3 linked regions of the Tamandua tetradactyla genome follow. The protein of the gene in region 3 interacts with the protein of the main gene of each other region in a pairwise test. Links are inferred from orthologs where the notes say so. Each region holds a gene or a part of one and is shown on either strand. Other genes may lie near its edges. The genes, in order: EHD1, EHD3 and RBSN.

The links.
Region 1: the proteins of RBSN (region 3) and EHD1 interact in binary tests that used the Homo sapiens proteins (3 or more experiments, as listed by UniProt). The link is inferred for Tamandua tetradactyla from reciprocal best matches to the Homo sapiens genes RBSN and EHD1.
Region 2: the proteins of RBSN (region 3) and EHD3 interact in binary tests that used the Homo sapiens proteins (3 or more experiments, as listed by UniProt). The link is inferred for Tamandua tetradactyla from reciprocal best matches to the Homo sapiens genes RBSN and EHD3.

Annotation. Positions count from the first base shown.
Region 1 is NC_135335.1:9,689,192-9,696,744, reverse strand, and holds the start of EHD1 (EH domain-containing protein 1), read right to left. Parts: upstream 3,015-7,553; 5' UTR 2,906-3,014; coding exon 2,887-2,905; exon of another isoform or gene 2,152-2,886; coding exon 2,065-2,151; exon of another isoform or gene 1,982-2,064; intron 1,697-1,981; coding exon 1,270-1,696; intron 1-1,269. UniProt on the Homo sapiens protein: ATP- and membrane-binding protein that controls membrane reorganization/tubulation upon ATP hydrolysis. In vitro causes vesiculation of endocytic membranes. Acts in early endocytic membrane fusion and membrane trafficking of recycling endosomes.
Region 2 is NC_135343.1:76,595,127-76,602,425, reverse strand, and holds the start of EHD3 (EH domain-containing protein 3), read right to left. Parts: upstream 3,100-7,299; 5' UTR 3,053-3,099; coding exon 2,826-3,052; intron 1-2,825. UniProt on the Homo sapiens protein: ATP- and membrane-binding protein that controls membrane reorganization/tubulation upon ATP hydrolysis. In vitro causes tubulation of endocytic membranes. Binding to phosphatidic acid induces its membrane tubulation activity.
Region 3 is NC_135335.1:35,137,891-35,145,971, forward strand, and holds the start of RBSN (rabenosyn-5), read right to left. Parts: upstream 3,041-8,081; 5' UTR 2,886-3,040; intron 2,737-2,885; exon of another isoform or gene 2,706-2,736; intron 1,783-2,705; 5' UTR 1,689-1,782; intron 1,081-1,688; 5' UTR 923-1,080; coding exon 775-922; intron 1-774. UniProt on the Homo sapiens protein: Rab4/Rab5 effector protein acting in early endocytic membrane fusion and membrane trafficking of recycling endosomes. Required for endosome fusion either homotypically or with clathrin coated vesicles.

The sequences.
Region 1 (7,553 bases), about 25 Mb from region 3:
TTTCCAGCATAGCAGCCAAACTTTCCACAAGATCCTATCGCTCCCCCCAGTTAACTGAGCCAACCACTTCCCAACAGGCACAGTAATTCTAAAACACAAGGAGCCATCCGAGGAAGGTCTGGGCTTAGAGTGCAGGCCTCTTGTGGAGCCTCAGCCCAAGGGGCTTCACTTAAGCCTGGCCCTGACACAAAAAATGCCTACATCGGGCAAAAGAACCTGCCTATCTTCTCTGTGCACAGAGGGAGTCTGGTCCCTGGGCTTGGCTCTGGGCGGGCTGGACAGTGTCTGGAAAGGAATGTGAGCATACGGGGCGGGGACCTGGAAGGCAGGATTCAAGGGTTCTTTTCTAGGCTCTTCCCTGGATGTCTGAGTCAAAAGGCATGTGGAGTCACTCCTTGAATGCGGAGTGGGGGAGAGGGGAGGATCTGTTAAGTCCTTTGGTATGTTCCATGGGGACGACGGGTGAGCCCTTTAAAAGCCTGGCTGCTTCACCAGTCAGAAAGGAGGCCGGAACATTTCATTCATAGCATCATCAGGGTTAGGTTAGAGAACCTCCCAGGCTACAGAGGTACGTGGAGCTGAATCCCATTCCAGGCCACCCAATGCCATTGCCCTGTTTCCTGAAGCGCCCTGAAGGCAGTGCAGCCCCTTCTAGAACTGCCTCTGGGAGAAGTGTGTGTTCATGCCCCATCTGTCTGCTGCCTCAGCGGGTCCCCTAAGGCGGCTGGACAACAAGCCACCCACCCCAGGGGGAGCAGAGCAGAAGCACAGGACACCACCAGCAAAGGGAAAGACCCCAAGTTTCATCGTATTTTTTCCCCAAAACACCTAAGAAACAGGCCCCTGAAGGAAGCCAAAGGGAGAGGGAGTATTTGAATGAACTAGGTGCGTGAGCTCCGGGGTGTAGGAGTAGAGGTAAGGGTGGGGTGGGCAGGGGCCTGAGACCAAGAAAAAGAGGACCGGAATCTCTCCTTTTCCTAACGCCCCCCCCCCCCCGGTTCGGAGGGAAGTGGGGCTGGGGGTGGGAGTTAAACTGATGACCTAGAAAATTCCGGGGGCCCCAGAAGCCAGGAGAGCCGGCGGCGCCCACTCCCAGAACCCCGTGGCGGGTTTTCTGTGGGAAGCGGCAGGGGGAAGCGGTCGCTGAGGGTCCCGCCGGGGCCTCGGAGACAAAGCGTGGCGGGGGGCGGGGGCTGCGGGCTGCTCGGGGCCCCGGCCGCCCCTACTGGCCCCCCCTCCCCCGGCCCCGGGGCGAAGGGTACCGGGTACCTGTTGAGGAAGGCATTGCCGAAGGCGTTGAGCTTGCGGAAGGGGCGCCGCGGGTCGACGACGAGCGCGTTGCCCGGCACCACGCCCTCGGTGGGGCCGTGCATGACCGCGATGAAGGAGTCGGTCGTGGGCTCGGGCCCGATGCGCATCCCCGGGAAGTCCTGCTCGATCAGGTGCCGGATGAAGGTGGTCTTGCCCGTGCTGTACTGGCCCACGAGGAGCACCATGGGCTTGTTGTCGAAGTCCGCGTCCTCCAGCGCGGGCGAGTGGAACTCATGGAAGCGGTAGTGCTCCTCCAGGGGCAGCAGCTTCTGCGCGTACAGCTGCCGCAGCCCCTCGGCCACCGTCTGGAAGAGCTCCGGCTCCTTCTTGCGCCGGGCATCCTTGCTGACCCAGCTGAACATGCTGCCGGAGCCCGGGCTGGCGGCTGCGGAGCAGACCGGCCGGCTGAGAGTAGGGGCGAGGGCGCCGAGCCGAGGCGGGGCCGGACCGGCGGCGGCGGCGGCGGCGGCAACGGGGCCGAGGGGGCGGGGAGGGACCCGCACTGCGCAGGCGCACGACAGAGCCGGCGGAGGCGTCCACTGCGGAGTGAAGCGCGCGCGCCTCGCCCAGCCCCCTTTATAAGGCTGGGCCCGGCGCTCCGGGGAGCGCGCCGCTAAGGGGCGGGGCGGCCGGTGGGGTCGGGGGCAGGGGGAGGAGGTGGAGCCCGCCCCGTCCCCGCCCACGAGCCCCGCGCCACGTTCTCCCCTCCCCTGCCTCCCATTGGTCGAACCCAATCTCGCGAGACGCGCTTACCCCGCTCCCCTCCCCTGGCCGCTGCGCCGGCTACCTTGGCAACCGCACCTGTTGGGTCGCGCCCGGGTGTGGTGGCTCGCGTAGTTGCTGCGGTTGGGAAGGCGAGACGCGGGTGAAGGGCACAAAGAAGTGGCAAGGCCTGCCCTCCTTCCGGGACTCATCAGGCCCTGCATCCCGCCGCCGACCCCTCGCTATACCTCCTCAGCTGCCTGCCTACGCTCCCCGCACCCCGGCGGTTCCCCGCCTGAACCGTCCTCCTTCCACCCGCTCAGAGTCTCGTGAAGCCTCTGAGGACCCTGGGGCACGCGCCTCCCTTCCTGCACTGCCCTTCCAGCTTCCTCTCAGCCCCTCATCTTTGATCTTTTGGGGGAGAGGGAGAGACAGAAAAGGGGTGATAGAGGAAGCTGGAAAAGCAGGATATCAGAGTCCCGGGGTGAAAGGGGAAGCGTATTGGGGAAGAAGGACGATGGGGAAAGGCAGACCACAGCTGCCAGGAGGGCTCGGGATTGGGAGACGGACACAGGAATGGGGGACGTATATGACAGCTACTTAGTGGGGGGAGAATATCTCGCTGAAGAGGCCACAGGGGGGAGAATAAAGAGAATAAAGAGGAAGTCGAGGCTCTCTGGGTGCTTGAGTTTTGAGGAAGTGAAATCGGAAATTCCCTGTGTGGGGCAGAGGGGGAAATGTGGGGCAACAATGAAATCTTGTGGGAACTTAGGGGAATTAAAAGTCCCAAATACTTCCACTTTCTTCTCAGGGTCACATCAGTTACCACCTTTTACTCTGACCTGCCTGTGGCAGTGTTGGCCCCTTCCTTACCAGTTCCTGGCTGTTCCATTAGGTCTGTTCCCCTGCCATCACCCCTGGCCACACATAGTCCCCTTTGGCTGTCCAGGCTGGTGAGAATCTTCAGTGGGTGATGTCAGTGCTTTGGGGACTGTGATTGTTATGTAACCAGTATGTGCGTGAAGCTCCCTAGGACACCAAAGCATGTGATTGCGGGAGGGAGTGGGGTCTCCTGACAAATCTAAAATTCAGCTGGGAACTCAAAGGCCTCCAAATCATTTCTCTGGCTTCTAGAAGATATAGAAGGCTCTGTTGCTGGGTGCCTGTGTCAGGGAAGAAAGCAGGCTGGGCAAGAGACTAAGAGGTCAAAGACAAGGACAAAGACTCTGGCATCTGGGAAGAGAATGTGAATCTGGAAACAAGCAGTATATTAGGAGCGCTGACATCAAGTGGGGAGCTGGAGAGGGGGTGATGGGAGGTTTGGTCACCCACTCCTTACACTTGTAGGACCAGGTGCTGCTGGAAGGAAAGAGGCCTCAGGTACTTCCTGCCTGACCCTCCTTCATCCTTCCTCTTGCTTCTTCAGCTGAGTCTCTCAGCGTCTGTATGGCCATGCACCCCAACTTGCTTCTCCTTCCCTTCACTGGGAAAAACACAAAAAGAAAAAAAGACCCTTGATGAAAAGAATGTAATGAAATTGCTTTTCCTTCTCTTCACTGGGTTGGAAGGCTGCTGCAGCGTTCTCCCAGTGGGTGATCAATACCTTGAGAAAGGATGGAGTCTCCTGAGGAAAGTGGGTATTCAAGGAGGAAGAGCCCTGGGGGCCCCAGCATTTAAAAGGCAGATGAGAGAATGAGTGCCCAGGGGAGACTGGGGGGAAATGCTGGAGGGTTGACAGGAGAACTCTGTGACAGAGCAGACCAGTGAAAGAACAGAACTTGTCCATTGGAGCTGGCATTGTGAAAACCAAAAAATAAAGCTAGTGACAGGTTTTGGGGAGAGCCAATGGAGGGAAGACAAGGGGTGGGAAAGTGGAGACAGTAAGCACTGAGAAGCAAGAGTTGCTGGGGGGTGGGGGTGGGGCAGCAGAGGGGCTGCAGGTGAAAGGCTGGTGTTGTGACTGGGGTAGCGAGGGTGTCCAAGATTTCTTGGCCAAGGAGAAGGAACTCAAAGAAAGAGAGATGGAAGAGCCAAGAGTGAAGCAAGGATCCAGAGACACTCAGTCTGGACCTGGAGGGACAGAGGGACAGGGACATGGCATTGGGAAGTGGGACAAAGTGTGTCCCCACAGAGTCCTAGGTCTCTCCATGGTGTAGAAGGCAGGACTGGCAACGGAAAGGGGATTGGGCCCCTGATAACCACACGAGGACTTTCCCAGGTGACTGTACCCCCTAACGCCCTCTCCCCCTTTCCCAGCCCACGGAATAGGAAAGGGAGGTTTGCTTGCCCCTCCCTGGCTCCAGGCCTCTTCAGGTCTTTGCATTTATGGGTACGGCCCTCTTTGAATAAGCGGAGCTGTACCTCTTTCTCTGTTCTCCCCTCTCTGAATCTGCTTCTTTAGAAGCTGATCCATCCCGCAGACAGACTGCCTGTCCAGTTGCAGCTGCATTTCGCAGAGCCCCACGCAGCTCCCTGGATGCGGCCTCTCGGAGGCCCTGCAGCACCCCCACCCTCAGCAGGAACTCCACCCAGCTCCATCCCCCTCACTCTCTATTTCACCCTTGGACTGTGGCCACCGCCTAGGACAAGCACCCCCACCCCCACCCCCAGCACGCTGCATTTAATCATCCTGTACGTGTGCAATTTCTCAAACATGCAAAACATATTTTAGGATAAATTCCTGAGTAAAGCAGTTGTAATTTTGGTAGATATTGACAAAACTTCCCTCCTGAGAAGTTTGACCAGTTTGCAGTCAAAGCGCAGAGAGCCTTCCAAACCCAAGTCCCCTGCCCCCTCCCCTCCAGCTGCCCCTTTGACCTCATTTCCTCTGGGACTGCCTCCCCTGCTCCAGCCCCAAGGCCCTCCGATCCAGAATATTCCAGCCTCAGGACCTTGCACTTGGTGTTCCCTTGCCTTGACTGTTCTTCTCTCAGATATTTGCAAAGCCCCTCCCTTATTTCATCCCTTCCCTTTTGGCCCTTGAATTTCCTGTCCATAAAATAGGGATAAAAATACCTATTGCATAGGGTGAAATGGAATGGCTTATGCGATAAATAATATTAGCCCTGGTGCCTTCTTCTCCCCTTCCCTAATCATAGAGAAAAGGATGAGTAATTCCAGCCTGGCTCAGGGGGCCCCTGCCCTGCTACTTTTATTTGGGATTTCATTACATTCTTTTCATCAAGGATCTTTTTTTTCTTTTCGTGTTTTTTTTTTTGTGTGTGTGTGTGTGTGTGTGTGTGTTCTCAAAAGAGGATATTGGGGCTCATAGACAGGGCCTGTCACCCAGGGGCCACATGCCAGCTGGTGGCAGGGGCCTTGGGCGGGCCCAGTCCAGACTTCCTGGGCCAGCTCTGAAAGCCAAAAGGCTCGCCTTGTACATGGCGCTAGGAGGGGCCCGCCCCGGAGATGCAGTTTCTGAGCTGGTCCAGAGAGGGGCCGGGGGGCCAGGGAGCCTCAATGGGGTGGTTGTTCAGGGGCCTGAATGGGCTGGTCCCCAACAGCGCTCACGGCGACGCTCCGTGGTTTGTCACAGCTCCCCAGAGCCTCGGGTGCTGGGAAAACCCGGCCCCATAATTAATGGAGAACAACAAAATGCTCTGTGTGTGATTTATAAATGGAACCTGGGCCCTGGCTAGGATGTCAGGGCCACTTGATGTGCCCCAAATTGCTCTGAGGACTGGAGGGAAGGCACCCCTACCTCCCTGGGGTAGGGGTGGGGGAACCTGAATAGCCAGGAATCAGTTCCCCCGATTTCACAGAGCTGGCACCCAGGTCCCGGACCACTTCCTTCTGGTTTAATGTCCCAGATTGCGAAACATCCTAATTTGTTTTCCCTTTGGCTCTTTGAGGAGGGCAGTTTTTGAAGATTTGTAAGATGCCAATGATGCATTTTGGTTTTGGTTTCTCCACCCGTCTTTGCCTGGAACTAGGGCAAAAGATTGAGGAAACATGCAGATATTTTCCTTTTATCTGAGAAGTGATGCCCAACCCCACTTCCAGATTGACAGCCGCGACACAGGGGCAGCGTGGCCTCAGTCGGGCTCTTATTGCCTGAGGTCCACCCAGCCCCACGATGGCCTGGTCTAGAGAAGTATCTAAGGGCCCATAAAAACAACTAAAAAAAAAAAAAAATCAGAGCATTTTCCCTCAAATATGGCAGAGAAGTGGGGCTGGGAAAAATAAAAAAAAAAACCATGGGTTTGTCCCTGGGACCTTTCTGAGGAAGTTTGCTTATCAGCAAGGCTTTTCTCCCAGTCATGAAGGCTACATCTGGCCAACAAACCAGTCTTGCCAAAACAAGGTAAAGAGCTGGGACGCCTGTTACTCTGCTCTCTGGGTTTCAGCAGGGCACGGGGCTGTGGCCCCCACCCAGCCCTTCTCTGAGGGTCTACTCGCCTGGTCTTCCCGGGAGAAGGGATGCAACAGCAGGCTCAGCCCCTCGGGGCCAGGGCCCTGGGGAAAATTGTTGGGGTTCCGGGTGGGGGCGGGGGGCCGCCCCCAGCAGGCAGCAGGCAGCTGGGACCCAGCCTGGCTTGCAGGTGGACAGGATGTCAGGGCAGCTTGGGAACTTAGCTGCTTTGAAACCCCAATGAGAAATAGGCCCAGGGTGGCTGCGTGGGGTTGGCCAAGAAGCTGCGCCTTTTGCCTCCTAACTCAGTGCTCCTTTCCATACTCTAGCCATTTAAGTACGGCAGGGTCGGGTTGGTGGAAACTCTGAGGAAGAAAGTTTTCAGCACCTCCTCCCACAGGTATGGGCTGTGTGAATTTGGCATCACCAGCCCTTCTGCCCTCTCCACGTCTTGCTGCTGCTCCTGCAGCCCAGGGTGGGGGTGTATGTGTGTGGGGGGGTCCCACCTTCACATTCACCAGGACACTGTGGACATAATTCCCAAGACCAAGAGGCCTCTGAATGCTCAATTCAACTGCTTACACCAAGGGAGGCTACCCCCTGCCACAGCTTCCAGCCCCCTGTGGCCTCTGGCCCCATCTTGCAGGGGCTGCTGAGGCAGGAGTTGCAGCTGAGCTCAGGCCAGTGTTTTCCCTAAACTCACCAGTGACCCCAGTGCCATTCCGGCCTGCCTCGGCACCAAACTTTTGCTGTGGACAAATGGCATGTGGGGATGCCATGGGAAGCGGCTTCTTATTTGGCCCATGAAAGTGTCCTGCCCTCTGCAGTGACACCAGCAGGGGCTGCTCTACAGGCTCTGGGGTCCCTCTTACTCTCTGCATGGAGTGAAGTAGTGGGTGCAACCCCGATGGCAGCCGGGGAGGATGAATGAGGCATGCAAATGCTGCCACCTGAGTGACCACGACCTTAGCCCCGCTGTGTGAGAGCAGGTCACTGTCCTGTCTCGTGTCCCATCCAGGCATTTCTCGGGGGGTGGGGGGGTGTCCGTGGGGGGTCTCATGTGCTCCAGATTGAGCTGGCTCATGTTCTGCTCCAGCTGCCTGGGCCTCACCATGGTACCTCCTGTTCCCCCAGGGCTGGGGGCTGCCCTGAGCCTCAGCATGAGCTCCCAGGCTGGCCTGGAGGGTCA
Region 2 (7,299 bases), on a different chromosome or scaffold from region 3:
GGAACAGACTTTGCAGAGGCAAAGCTACACCCTCTCCCCAGCCCCTAGGCTCTCCAGAGATGCTGAAATACCCAGCATGAGGCCCAGGCTGTGGGGGTGCAGGGTGGGGGTGTGAGACCATGCAATCCCAGGGAAATGCTGAGTCATAAACACAGTCCCCCGAGGAAGTGGGGAGAGCTGGTGGACGGAGCATCCCAGGTGCTCGGACCTACCTCACCGTGGAGGCTGGGGCAGGTGGGCCCTGGCTGTCCTTGGGCCCCATTTAGTGCCCCAGCCCCCCACCTCAGTTCTGCCACGGTGCAGCCAGGTCTCCCCTGCAGCCCTGGGAAGGGTCATGCCTTCCTCATTCCTGGGACAGGCAACTCTCAGCTGTGCTACACACAGATCAGAGAAGCCAGAGAGAGTGGGCAGCAAGCAGTGAGCAGGGGGCCAGAGGGCCCACGGGAGGAGGGATTCAAGGCTGCATGCCAGAGAGAGAAATGATGAAGGAAAGAGAAGCAGCCGAGGCAAGGAGGCAAGGCAGTCAGGCCAGACGGACACACAGCTACTGTACTCCCAACAGGCAGTCTGTGTTGGGGAGAGCAGCCGCCAGGCCAATTTATTGTTTATTTTATTACTCTGAGTTGCTGGGCCTTAAGCCAGGGAAGTTATTTCAGGCCGAGATCACAGCACATTAATTAGTTATTAGAAGAATGTCCTCTTCTGTGTGTTCTTTCTGAGACAAGAAATAGAGCCTGTGGCAAGCACATATAACTATAAGAGGATGGACACTCAGGCGGCAAAAGGCCAAGGATGGGGGAGAGAAAGAGGAAGGCTTTGTTTCTGAGAGCAGAGCCCCTGACAGGTTCAGGCCAGAGAGAGTTGAGAATCAATGAGCTCAACTCAAGAAGCAATGGGAGAGAAGGTAGAGCCATTCGGCAGCTGTGGCTACACCAGGGGAGCCCCGCCCACCCCATGGGAGGGGTTTTGTACCGACTTATCCTTTTGGAAAACAACTGGGAAATAAGACTCAACTGAAAACAACAGCAGCAACTAAAACTCTGCGTAACCCAGTAATTCTACTTCTGGGATCTCTGAGAAAACAATCCAATATATTGGAAAAACATTATGCACAGAGACATTGAGAGAGATTCTACAATAGCAAAAACTCAGAGACAACATAAGACGTCCAAAAGAAGTAGATTGGTTAAACGAATGATCACATAGACACTCAGTGAAATATTAGGCTGCTGTTAAAAATAACACTTACAAAGATTTTTAAATTACAGAGCAGGGGGGACATGCTATAAGTAAAAGAAAAACTCAGAATACAAAATTATATATATGGTATGATCTCAGCTGTACTGCAAAACAGCTAAAATACTGGAAAGATAAATACAAATATTTAAAATGGTTTCCCCTTCATCATGGAATTATGGTGCTTTTTTCTTTATATTTATTTTCTGTATTTCTCTATTAAAAAATAAAACAGCTGTTCATTGGATTTAATCAAAAGAGATAAAATACGTGATCTGGATCTGGAGGGCTTCCCCTGTGCCACAGCCCCTTATAGGGGCTCCGGGGGCAGCAGTTTCTGACATTTAGTTACTGACATGAGCAGGGAGGGAATTGTCTCCTGCTTGGATGATAAGACAGAGGAGGGCTCTGCCTCTCCAGGCCTTCCTGTCTCCCTCAGATAAGGAATAATCGGTGGCAGCTCGACTCTACCACTTCCTTAGACTTGGTTAACACCCAGAGATGACTCAGGCAAGCAGGAGAGACCGTCTCAGATAAAAGAACCTCAAACTCACCTGCGGCTCTGGGACCCCGCCTCCAGGGACTCAACTTGTCCCCATCTTTCCTCCCGTCCTGCAGTCACCTGCTGGGAACCTCTAGAAGGTTAGAGCCTAAGCTAGACCCTCGGATCATAAAGCACAACTGTGGCTCTGCAAGTGCCGTGTTCCACGAAGGAGAAGCTCCAGAAGGGGGGCTAAGAGCCATAACCAAGGCACGTTCAGAGAGCGCGGGAAGGTTGCACAAGGGCAGGAGCTATCTGGAAGTGACCTGCACTATCCATGGAACATAAAACTGGGCAGGTAGAGGACAGAGGAAACCTTGTACAAGGGGGCCATGAATGGCTTTTGGCAGAAATGGGTGTTTAATAAAATAAGAGACCTGAATTAGATCAGGGGTCTGACCTTAAGGTCCAGAGATGGTCCTGGAACCCCCCACAAACTGTACGCAAATATGGGATGCAGGTGCAGTTTTCTAAAGACAGGTTCCCAGCTTTCGTAGGATTTTCAAGGGAGGGCCTGATCAAGAGTGGAGAACCAGTGGATTCATCTCTAAGGGCCCCATACAGCTCTAACAATCCAAGATCTTCAAAAGCCACCACAGCTATCCCCTCCAGGGTCTCCCCCTGGCCTGAACTTCTTTGGAAATCACTGAACCTCTGGAAGCTGCCAAGCCCAAGACTGTCCACGGCACAGGAACAATCTCCATCTGATGCTCTGTTCAGACATGACACGCTAGCTGGCTGCACATCCTGCTCCCAAAAGGCTCGTGTTAGGAGAAAATGAGTACCTGAACAGACCCTTTCCTTATGGATCCTCCTCACCCGAATTTTGTCTGCACAAGCACAGTGCTTTGCAGGTTGTAGACGCTCAACTATTAATGAATGGAAACAGAAGTCCTTCCCTGAAGGATTCCGCAGGAGACTGGGCCCCCTTTGACTTCCGTGGGCCATCGGACCCCATCCCCACACTGTCGCAGCCTCCCCCTCGACACAAAGGGCCACAGGCTCGCCAGGACAGTCTGGCAATGGCTGGAAACGAGGCCGAGCTCACCTGATGAAGGTGGTCTTTCCCGTGGAGTACTGGCCCACCAGCAGGACCATGGGCTTGTTGTCGAAATCGGCATCCTCCAGGGCAGGCGAGTGGAACTCGTGGAAGCGGTAATGCTCCTCCAGAGGCAGCAGCTTGGTCTTGTAGAGTTTCTTGAGCCCCTCGCTCACCGTCTGGAAGACCTCCGGTTCCTTCTTCTGGCGGTCGTCGGAGTTCAGCCAGCTGAACATCGCGGCCGCCGCTCCAGCCCGCGCGCAGCGCCCGGGTCCCGGCGCGCCTCGGCCCCTCGCGGGAAGGTGCCCCCCGCAGAGCCGCACCCACGCCTCACCGGAGCGCCGGGCTCAGCCGCACCATGGCTCGGGCGCGCGCCTCGGGGCTCCCTGGGGGAGCAGCGCCGCGCCGGGAACGCGCTCTTCTCTTGCTCCTGGGACGGAGCCCAGCCCCGACTTCTTCCAGCTCCCAAAGCCCAGGAGAGGAAAAAATAATCCGGCTGTGCAGAGGCGGGCAGCAATCTTGGAAATTAAAGTCGAACCTGCAATTAAGCTACCCGATGACTATGGCCCGGGTTTCTCCCTCTTGGTTAAAAGGGATGCTCAGTGGCCGAGAGAGGCCCCGCCCAGCGCGCGGACACTCAGCGGCCGCCGCCAGCAGCCCGCAGCCCCGGGCGCTCGTTTAAATGCCAGCCGCGCAGGAAGCCGGCTCGCGGAGGAAGTCCCCGAGTGCTGGCAAGGCAGGGCCAGCCCAACGGTCCTTTCCAGGAGAAGCTGCGCAGGGCGCCGCCATGTTTGTGGGCAAGAGCCGCGCTCGGGACCCGCGGCCGCCGCCTGGGCGAGGCTGCTGAGCCGGGTGGAGAGGCTGTGCTGCTCCGTTGATTGGGGAACAGCGCCCCCCCAGGACCGGCTGGGGAGACAGACTGACCTCATCACACTGCCTGCTTTTAAGTAGCCTTTCCTTTCGCCGCCGAGTGCAGGCGCGTAGAAAAACAGGGACTGTGGCAATCGGGAATGCTTTTTGGGCGGGCATGGAAAAAAAAGGCCAACATCAGGTTAGATTAACCAAAAACTGCCACTGATCAGACTTCTAGGCGGAGGGTAAAATCAAAGCTGTTCCTTATCCTTCCACTAAAATAAAACAGAACAAGGAACACCCACAGTGTTGAGCCATTTGTGGGGCAGACACAATTCCGGTCACTGCGGATGCAAACTGAGTTACAAAGACCGTTCCCCCCAGGAGCTCTGGTCAGGGCAGGCTTTAAAGAGGAGAGATGAGCAGAGGGCCTTGGGAGAACCAGGGAAGATTTTTTTTTCTCTCAAATAAATTTGTCTGGATAATTCCAGCTTCACAGAAAGCACGTCTGTGAGCTGGATCTTAAGTGATGAATTGATTGAGAAGAGAAGACATTCCAGGAGAGTAAAGGGCGTTGGCAAAGGATGAGAAACACGGAAGAACTTGGTGTGTTCCGAGCAGGAAAAACAGTTTTTGGGCAAGGATGGCACTGGTGGAAGGGAGCCAGATGCGAAAGGCTTTGCTTAGGAGACAGGGACCATCGAGGAGCTGAGGACCCAGGGAACAGTTTATTACTAGTAACCCTTACCCTTAGCCTAAGGCTTGCCATATGCAAGGTCCTGGCTAAGTTCTCAGCCAGCATTACTTCAATTAACCTTCACAGCCACTCTGTGAGGTAAATAATATTATCTCTAGTGCCATACCAAGGAGGGTAAAGGTGGGAGAAGCTGGCCTGGTGTTCTAGTTTGCTAGCTGCCAGAATACAACACACCAGAGACGGATTGGCTTTTAATAAAAGGGGATTTATTTTGTTGGTTCTTCAGAGGAAAGGCAGCTGACTTTCCACTGAGGTTCTTTCTTACATGGGAGGCACAGGATGGTCTCTGCTGGTCTTCTCTCCAGGCCCCTGGGTTTCAACAACTTTCCCCGGGGCCACTTCTTTCTGCATCTCCAAAGGCCTGGGCTGAGCTGCGAGTGCTGAGATGAGGAATGCCGAGCTGCTTAGCTGTGCTACGTTGTGATCTCTCATTTGAGCACCAGCCAATTCAGTCAAACGTCACTACGTTGTGATCTCTCATTTGAGCACCAGCCAATTCAGTCAAACGTCACGCATTGCAGCAGACACGCCTCCTAGCCGACTGCAGATGTAATTAGCAACAGATGAGGCTCACGTACCATTGGCTTGTGTCCGCAGCAACAAGACTAGGTATGCTCACCTGGCCAAGTTGAAAACCGAATCTAACTAACACACCTGGGTACAAGCAAAAGTGGTGCCTCATCTGTAACAAATTTAAAAGCAATGATAAAATCAACTAAAAGTTAATCTGCTTTTTATTAGTACCATTCCAAACACTGTCAGCGATAAAATAGTCTTCCCTGCGAATCCGATGTCTCCCACTACACTCCCTCCCCCAGGGAGGAAACTGAAACATAGGCTAATAAAGCAGGAGAGGAATAGGATAAAATCAGTTTTGTATTTTAGAATAATGCTAGTGGCAGTCCAGAGGAGGGACTGGGGGAGCGAAAAGGCCAGAGGACAAGAGTCCAGTTAGGAAATTATGAAAAAAAAAAACAAAACCTGGGAGACAGGGCAATAGTGATGGAGAAGAGGTCAGATTCGAGAGATATATTTTTTAAGGCTTAGAATGACGGGTCTTGGTAAGCACTAAAAGAGGAGAAATGAGGGGGAGGTAGACTTAGGGCTGATCCAGGATTTTCTTCTGTAGGGTCCAAGACTACTGGAGATGCTCTTCCATCAGTTCAAGAAATTGGAAAGAGAACAATTTGGTAGGTCACAACGAGGTGTCCAGTCTCAGAGAGGATGCGTGTGAAGTGTCTGTGGGAGCTCTGAGTAGAGGGGGCCAGTGAGGGCTGCGGGGATTTTGTTGGGGGTGCTGAAAGGAATCTCTGTAATGACAGCCCAGGTCTCTCGACTCCTTCTTTGAACCCCGATGCTGAATGCCCCAGGCTGAGCTCTCTGTGCCTGTGGTCGGGAAACCACAGTCATCCAAATGAACACGCCACCCAGTGTTCACATTAACACCAGCATGTGTGTCCAAGAGGTGATGTTCAAAGTACTTAACAACTGCGGTGGCATGGCAATCCAGCAGTACACATACACGCAGGCCTTCACAGTGGAGCGGGGCCCAAGACCCCGGGTCATGCCTGGCGTTAAGCCAGTAGCATCTGAAGCATGGAGTGGTCTGAGCTTGACCAGGGGCAGGGGCCAGGATGGCCTGGGTGGCGGGGGGGGGGAGCTAGGGAGCCCCCCATTATGGAAGTATTTTGATATTTTGTTAACCCCTAGAGCTGTGTTGTGTACCAGCTGAATGGCAGTCCTGAATACCTTAAACTTCACTGAATGTCCATTGATGTATCTACTCTGGGTCTTAGCCTTGCCTGTAGGAAATATGTCTTCTTTAAGAAGGAAATAAGTGATAATGTAGCAATGAACAGCTAGAAAAAAAGAATTTCAAAATGATACCATTTATAGAAAAAAAAAAAAGAACCCCGGGACAAATCTAACAAGAGACTTGTAAGACCTTTATGTGAAAAAATGATAAAACTTGATGGAAAGGCATTTAAAATGCTCTAAATCAAAGAAGAGACACACTATGTTTAAGCATGGAAAGATCCCCTCTCATGAAGAAGTGAATTTGATCCAACATAATCAATAGATTCAATAATTGATGGATATAAATTGCAATAAAATCTTAACAGGATTTTCCATGGAAATTGATATATATTGAAAAAAAAAAAGGTAAAAAAAATAGGTAAAATATTCCAGAAAAAGAAGGAGGAGGAGGAGGAGAGGGAGGAAGAGGAGAGACAAGAATAGCAGAAGCAGAAGTAGGAACAATGAGGCCAAGGGAATTAGATTGGAGATGCCACTGTAAAGTTGTGAGGTTTTTCCACAGAGGTAGAGAAATAGAACAAAACAGTGGAAGAGTCAGCATGTGTGGCAACCTGCTTTATTACACAAGTTGACCAGTGAAAGAATGTATCAATTGTTTTGATAAAATGAGCTGGGACAATTGTTTAGCTATAAGAAGAAAAAGTAAAGTTAAAAGTGGTTTCCTACCTTATCCCATAAACAAAAAGAATTCCAGATGGATTAAGAGGTAAATGTGCAAAAGGCAAAAGCTTACAACTTTAGAAGAAGATATTTGCATGAGGTCAAGAAGGATTCCATAACAAAGCACAGAAGCACCAAGAACAAATAAGAAGATTCATGTATTTGGCAATGGCAAAATTAAGTTCTTTTGTTCAACTAAAAATACCAACGAGTGCAAATATATTTGCAATGCATAAAATTGACAAAAGGGCATCAAAAATATATAATTAATTACTGTACATCAATAAGAAAGACACATTGCAATAAGAAAAATATGGCAAAAGACAAAAATTCCTTTTACAGAAGAGTCTACATGAATGCCCCTAAAACATAAGAAAAGACATTGAACCTCATTAG
Region 3 (8,081 bases):
ACTTAGGAATACATAAGCATTCCTTTCTCTCCCCCCCAACAACGAATTGTGAAAACAGCATCCAAACCTGTTTAAGCATATCACCTTCAGAAATGCTTCCTGAGAAGCAGAGTAGCTAACTTACTAGGTAAGTGAGTTCCAGAAAAGCTGCATCTAATTTAGGGATTAGAATCTGAAGTCCAGGAAAATGACAAACACAATGCACAGTTAAAAATTCTTTCTTCAACTCTCCAGGACCTGAACCCCAGGAAGCTCAAAAGCCATTCCTTAGTTTTTTTCTTTGCTTTTCAAGTCTGACCTTCTTTCTTCGGACTATAGAGAACAAAGTCTAGTTGAGGAAGAAAGGCTGGTGGGAAGACCTGAATCTATGACAGGTAAATGGTGCATAAGTTACCTCCATATTAATAGTAAAGGAAAGGAATTCCACTCTAAAACCCTCTAGCCTGGTGGTTAAATAATTCAAAGAATCTAGCAAGAGAGAGCAGAATGTGGTACGATTTGAACCTAAATTCAAAGCCAGGTTCTGCCTCACTGTGTGACTTCTAGGCTAATTACCTAATTCCGGCTCATAATCATATAACCATTGTGAGATTTAAATTAACACAAGGGAAGAGTTTTGATCAATGCCTGGCATGTGGTAAACACTAGATGTATGTTCGGTAACTACTATTATTATTATCATATTCTGGTGGCAACATGGACGCTGATGAAAACCATCCCATGAGTTAAAGCTCCAGGTGACAGAATGGGACAAGCAAGATCCTTGCCTCTTACTTTTAATTTGCCCTTTGACATCACGGTCTTCCCCTGAGTGCTCTTCCTCATAATGTGACTGAAGCTGATAGAAAGACTGCAGGTCCTTCAGGCACAAAGGGCAGAGGAAGCCTTCCCGCACTTCCCCTGGGTCTTCCAAAGAAGCCATGGCAGTGCTCCTCTCAGTCCTGGCAAGGCAGTGGCCTCATGCGATTCCTCTGTGAGGCACCAGGGTTCCTGCAGCATTAGCTAACCAATGTCACATTGACAGTGAGAAAGTGGCATCATAACCCTGGATGAGGTTTCCTCTCTGGAGTAGGAAGAGCCCTAAGAAAGGAAAGAAGGGGAAAAGCCAATTCAGGCAAATTAGCAGCAATTAAGAATTCTTTGTTCTTTTCACAATTCACATAAAGTTTATTCAGTACAAGTCTGAGAAAACAAACTGTTGCCTCAAATCATCGGACCAAGACACTAAGATATGAGAGTATCACTGGACCATGGCAGCTAAATGACATGGGAAACAGATTCTCAAAGAAAGGAAAACTTAACTTCAAAAGCAAACACAGGGTGCAACGGTAGTTCAGTGGTAGAATTCTCACCAGCCATGCAGAGACCTGGGTTCGATTCCCGGCCTGTGCACGCCCCACCAGCAAAAAAAAATTCAACAAATGGTGCTGCAAGAATGGAATAGTCACATGGAAAAAGAATGAAATGTGACCACCACCATATAGCATACAAAAAAAAAAGCAAACACTTAATATGTTAAAGTTTACAACTAAAAAAGTTGTTTTTTTTTTTAAAAAGCAAACGCAATACTAAGGCAATACATTCAATATCCCAAATGATCCAACTTTATCATTTGTATGCCACTGTGGCCACTGGGGAAATTTCAGAAGTATTCATCATCAAGCACTAGCTTTTATTTGACTCCTTACCTTTCTCATTTCTTCAACCACATTTACTGAGCTCTTAGTACTTGCAAGGCAACTGTGCCAGTAAAGCAAAGATGAAAAAGGCACAATGCCTGCCCTAAACAAACAAACAAAAAACAAACCAACCTCAGTCTAAGGAGGAGCATTAGAAACCTATTGGTCAAAAAGAAAAATCCATTTTGTATTTTATATTTATAAAGCACTTTCTCTCCAATAGGCTTACTACATTTTATAAGCCAGTAAGTGGCAGTTGAGCAGCAAGCCTAATGTTCTCACAGCTTCAAAAATAAAAGGATTTGGTGCTCAAACAATTCAGAACGTAATAAGTTACATTTTCGGGCTTATCAAGCCATGGCAAAGTAACTTCCTAAGTCACCAAAGAAAGATTCCCAGCCATAGGGAGAATCCAGATCAAACCGTTCCTTAACAGCAGAAACTTCTCAGGAGCCACGGGGTCCCAGACCACAGCACAGAATGATAGAAAGAAGGGGACTATGTGGCCCTCGGCTTTGGATGGACTTGTTCAGAGAACCATTAGGGAGGGCTGCCTGGTTCTCAAAGCTGTAAGGTGGCAGTGACCTAGAAAATAAATAGTGACCCCAGGCTGGTTTTTTATTCTTTTAGCTAAGAAGTCCAATGAGTATACACACGCATTCCCAGCCCCTTTTCCATTTGGTCACTTAACCAGTAACCCAAGGTTTGATTAGTCCCCTCCCCAGTTGGTGGTTCATCAAACATTCTGACTCTGACAGCCCCCTTCCCTCCCATGCACTAACCCCATAACCACCACAAGCCAATCACAAACCACACACTCACGTTTCGCATCCCAGCTCAAAACTCACTTCCCCGAAGCAGCACCCCCCCGGAGCGGTGGCGTCCCTCCCCCCACATTTGGCAACCCCCTGCACTTCTCCTTCTCAACGCGAGAACCAAATACAAGGTGTCGGCAGACAACCATCTAAATCTCAGCCGCATAACCAAACACAACTGCTGGCGCCCAGCATAACCTCAAGCACGTACTGGCGAAAGGCACCACACGAACGCCCCCACCTCGCACCTCACACGTCACACCCACCGCAACCAAACACATCCCACAGTCACACGGCCCGCCCATCTCGGTTCCCGAAGGGTACCGCGTCCCCTAACGGCAGGTTCGGCCCGGTCCTCGGTACCCGGCTAGACTCCCGCGGACGCGCTAACCTGTTCAGTCCTCGGGCCCAGACTCTGGACCTTCAATCCTTCACACCGCCGCGACCGCGGCAGCCATCGCCATCGGCTGCTCGGCGCTCCTCAGGTGCGCCTGCGGCGGTCTCGAAACCGGAAGATAGGCTGACAGTCGCCCGTCGAGCGCCGAGTCTTCGAGGGCGCGAAGTGGGCGGGGACGGATTCGAATAGCTCGGGGCGGGCCAGCGGCTTTTGCGCAGGCGCCGTAGGAAAGAGGAGGGTGAGGGACGCCGTAATTTTGCGGCATTTTGACATTCCGCATACTTTGATACGGCCGCAGCGCCTATCGTACAGATGAGGAAATCGAGGCCTCAAGTTCTTTGTCCCTTGTTCAGAATGCCCTGTGAGCCACCCGAGGGTTTTTTAACGCCTCCTAGTACACCCTGAACTGCAGTCTGAATTAATCCCTGAGAGATAAGAGAAGGAATCTACAGGAGGCTTAAAGGATGTGGAAATATTCGGAAGAGAAACACACATGCGGGTGAGGGCTTGGAATGGGAAGGCGTAATTCGGGAGGTGTATATCATGGGGAAACCTGTAGCATTTTCAGAACACAGAACGGATCTGTCAGTACCAACTCCGTTCCCTGCACTGGGCTGGGTACCACCCGGCATTAGAGACACAACCTCATCCCAGTCCCGTGGGTGTTCCTGTAGGACGCTGGGCGTAGCAATGGCCTGGGCTCCAGAAGCAGAAGCTGCAGAACATGGTGGGCAGTCTGGGCTTAGATTCCGGATGTTACTTGACCTCTTTGACCCGAACACCTTAAGTACAAAGGGGATATCAGTCTTCGCCTCAAAGAGTTGTTTTAGATTTAAATACTGTGACTTTAGGGGCTCCGTATTGCTGGCTTCACCTACCTTGCTTTCCCTTTCTCCAAAGAGTCCTCCCCAGCAAATCTGTGGACAGGAGCACTGGTTCTGTGCTTAGACTGGGCCTATGTCACCTACGGTTTGAAGACATGGGCTCTCAGTTTGGACAGTATGGAGTTTTTGGAAGGGGATCGCCACTAAAAGAGCAATGAGCCAGGAGTCAGGTTCTAGTCCTGGCTGTCCTTTACTCTGTGACTTTGAACAGATGGCGTCTCCTCTCTGGATCTCAGTTTCCCCATATGCACAGACAAATGCTTCCAAAGACTTACAAACTCTTTTTGTCCCCCAACCTGATTTTTTTTTAATTCTGTTTTTTTAACTTTACAAGATCAGCAGGGGTAGGCAATGACTATCTTTCAAGTATTGGCATAAAGAAGGGACTTGCAAACCTATCAAAAGAAAAGCAACAAGCCCCTCCTTCACCAGCCTCTGTCTTGGGGTGGGAGAGCCAGGACTTGAAGAGAGAAAATATCATCTTAAATGCCTGGGGCCAAACAAATGCCAGGAGGAGCCACAATTACAAGGAAGATTGTGGTTGAGGTCAGGGAAGGAAGCTTTTTTTTTTCTCGTAGGCAGGCACCAGGAATAGAACCCCAGTCTTCAACATGGCAGGCGAGAAGTCTGCCTGCTGAGCCCCCATGGCCCACCCAGGAGGAAACTTTTATTAAACAGTTATGAGTTATTATTTACAAAACTCTGTCACAGTCACTGTTTCATTTGCTCCAAACAGCAGTAGCAATGTGACCAGCAGCTTGTGAATTAATTCTGGAAATCATCACAGATTGGCCCCTGCTTTTCTATTAATAGTTTTAAGAATAATGATAGCAAAGCCTTTCCTGTTTGATTTACGGCCTATAAAAGCACTTTCATATTCAATGTTAGTTAAGCCTTCCAACATCTCTGTTGTTTCCATTATAAAAATAATAATGATGACTAATATTTACTAAACAATTAGCATGTACTAGGCACTGTCCTATGTTCTTTACATGTCTTAACTCATTTAATTTTCCCACAACCCTGTGAGGTACAAACTAATACTGTTTCCATCTCATAGATGAGAAATCTGACACAGGAAAATTAAAATAATGATAGCTACAAAACTAAAAAACAAAAACTAAGCAACGAAATTAATGACCAAAGGACTAGCAGGCACTTGTCTGGAGAATTGGCAAAGGGTGTGCCAGGCTGGGTGGTATCTAGGAGACACAGCTGTCAGCTGCCCAAGTCTGTCAAGAAGGAAGCAGGAAAAGGAGGAAAGGAAAGAAGGAGGAATGAAAGAGGAAAGCCCATAGGGAAGGAGGGAGGGAAAGAATCGAATCACAAGAAAGAGTTAAGAGGTAGGACAGCCTTGTAGTTAAAAGCACAAAACTCTGGAAACAGTCACCCTAGGTTTGAATCCCTGGGTTGAATCTGCCACTTGTTTGATCCCAGACAGGTCATTAAATTCTCTCAGTTTCAATTTACTCATCTGTAAAATGAGATAAGAGTGCTTACCTCCTGCATCGGAGAATTAAATAAGTTAATATTTGAAAAGTGCTAGAACAGTCTCTGGCACGTAGGAAGGACTGACAATATAAATGTTTGTTGCAGGTGTGCATGCATCATGCTCATATCCAGTTCCAGCCAGGTCATTCCCTCTCACTCTGGGTCTCTCTTTGCAGCTGAGAACATGGGCAGGGTAGCTGCCCAAGTCAGTGCTGTGTGTATGTCTGGGTAACATTTGTCGGTCACCCACTGCAGAAGCAGTTTTCAGAAAATTTGTAACTGATCAAGAGATTTCAGATAATTGGAGTATAGACAGTGCCACAATATCCAATTATGAGATAGGAAACCCTCCTGATTATCAAGGGCAAAATTGCATGAAGAAGCATGACATTCCTATGGGTCACGTTGCCTGGCAGGTTACCAAAGAAGACTTTGCACATTTGATTATATATTGTGTATGGATGAAAGCAATCTGAGAGACTTGAATAGAGAAGGTAGTGAAGTTAAAAACTGCAAAGTAAAAATTGAACTACTTGGGAGCTATGATCCCCCAAACCAACTCATTTTTGAAGATCCCTATTATAGGAATGACTGACTTTGAGGCTGTGTACCAGTAGTGTGTTGGGTGCTCAAAGCATTTTTGGAGAAGTCACAGTAAAAGCTGCATCCATTCATTACTGAAGGCCAATCATGATGAACATCTTCACAGTGATGTTCTAGGTTTTTCAACTGTGCAAAAAGTGTAAAGTTTTATAGCTCAAGTCCACAACTTTTTTTAACTGACTTATTGTTTATCCTAAAAAAAATTGTAAAAAAAAATTATAGATGGAAATCAGTGTTGTGTTTGCAGAAGAATTAATAAAAATCTCTGATTCAGACAGCTTATGGGGTACATTAAATTTTCTTAAACAAATTGGATCTCTTCTCTTGCCCCAATTACAAAAATAGTGGAACAAACAAAATAGAACTATAAAACATAACGTTTTGTGTGTTTTGTAACGATCATTTCTTTTCAGTATTTAACCTTAAGGTACTATCCAGTGATGACTAGATTTCTAATATGTTTAATTATGATCTTAATAAATAATTAAACATCACTTTCAGGCCCAAGTCAATATCTGAGCCCATTGAGACTTCTAAATAATCTATCTCTTTAATAAGCCAACATGTATAACTTGATGGACAAATGTCTTCTCTTCACCTATACTACCTCTTTTTTTTTGATCCCAGGGCTTTTTGTTGAATTACATGCTCCCCTAGTCATAGGAGTTCACAATCTTGATTACAAGTATATTGATTCACACATACCCAGAGTCACATTTGTATGTTAAAAGGATAGGAAAGAGAATGATTTATGGTATAAATCTTTAGCGTTAGTCTTAATTTTTCTTTATCAAGTTTATTTCATGAGGCACTCAACTTTTTGCTCCCATTTGGACCACTTTGCCTCTGAAAATTTAATTATATCCAGAGAGGACACTGTATCCTGTTTAATCTTATGCTCACTTTGACAAATGTGTATGATTTATATGAACATATAACCCAAGTGTCAAATATGATATATTGGCTTATATGGGAAAAAATCATTTAAAAAACTGGAAAAAGAATTCTATTAAGTTGAAGTCATGTTCTTTTATCAGTGTTTCATTTATAGTTAACTACTATGTACTTTGAGATAACTATAATTTCAGATTCATTTGGATATATATCAGAAAAGGTTGTTTTCAAAATAAACTGGTGAGTATAAAAATACAAAAAAAAATTTTTGTTGCATAAAGAAAAAAGAAGGGAGGTGTCACACAAATGCCTTAGCGGTTGTGACAGCTGAGTCAGACAATACCATAGGAGGTGCAAGGATCCAGGCTGGTGTCATGGAAATATTTTTGAGTCATGGTCCTGCCATATGGGAAGTCTTTGAAGAGAACTCAGAATAGAATTAAATAGTAACTAGATTCATTGAATCCAAAATCTGTGGCAGGGGAGTGGGGGACTTAACAAACCTAAACTATCAGAAATATGGATTGCCTTGTGGTATGTGGGCTGCAAGGTCACCCAATTTACAGGTTTGGAACTGGCCTCTCCTTTGGCACAGCAGGACAATCGCCAGCCTAAAGGGGCCTTTGACAAATGCAAGAGGGGGTCCCTTCTTCCACCAGCCACAGCCCTGTGACAAGATTCAAGCCTTGCACTTAGCAAGTAGAGTACTGTTTCAGTTTTCTAAAGCTGCTGGGAAGCAATATACCAGAAATGGGTTGGATTTTACCGAGGGGAATTTTTAGGTTACAGATTTACAGGTCTAAGGTCATGAAAATGTCTGAATTTAAGGCGTCAACAAGATGATACCTGGACCCTGAAGAAAGGCCAGCCTCTGGAACACCTATGTCAGCTGGGATGTGGCTGGCATCTGCTGGTCCTTGCTCCTGGTTCGTTGCTTTCAACTTCTGATTCCAGGAGCCTTTCTTAGCTTCTCCGGTGCAAACTCTGCATTTCATCTCTTAGCTTAGCATCTCCTGGGATGTTTTCCGTCTCCAAGTATCTGTGCTTTCTCCAAAAGGTCTCCCTCTTAAGGGACTTCTGTAAATGGATTCAGACCTATCCTGAATGGGCTGGGTCACATCTAACAACCTAATCAAAGGGTCTCACCCAACAATAGATCTGCCCCCACAAGATTGGATGAAAAGAACTTAGCTTTTCTGGGGTACATAACAGTTTCAAACCCAGCACGGGCATGGAATGGATTTTTATTCCCATTCACCCCTCAAATGTGCCAAACACAACCTGCACAGCCACGTCTCGGGGGCAGAGGCCTGAATAA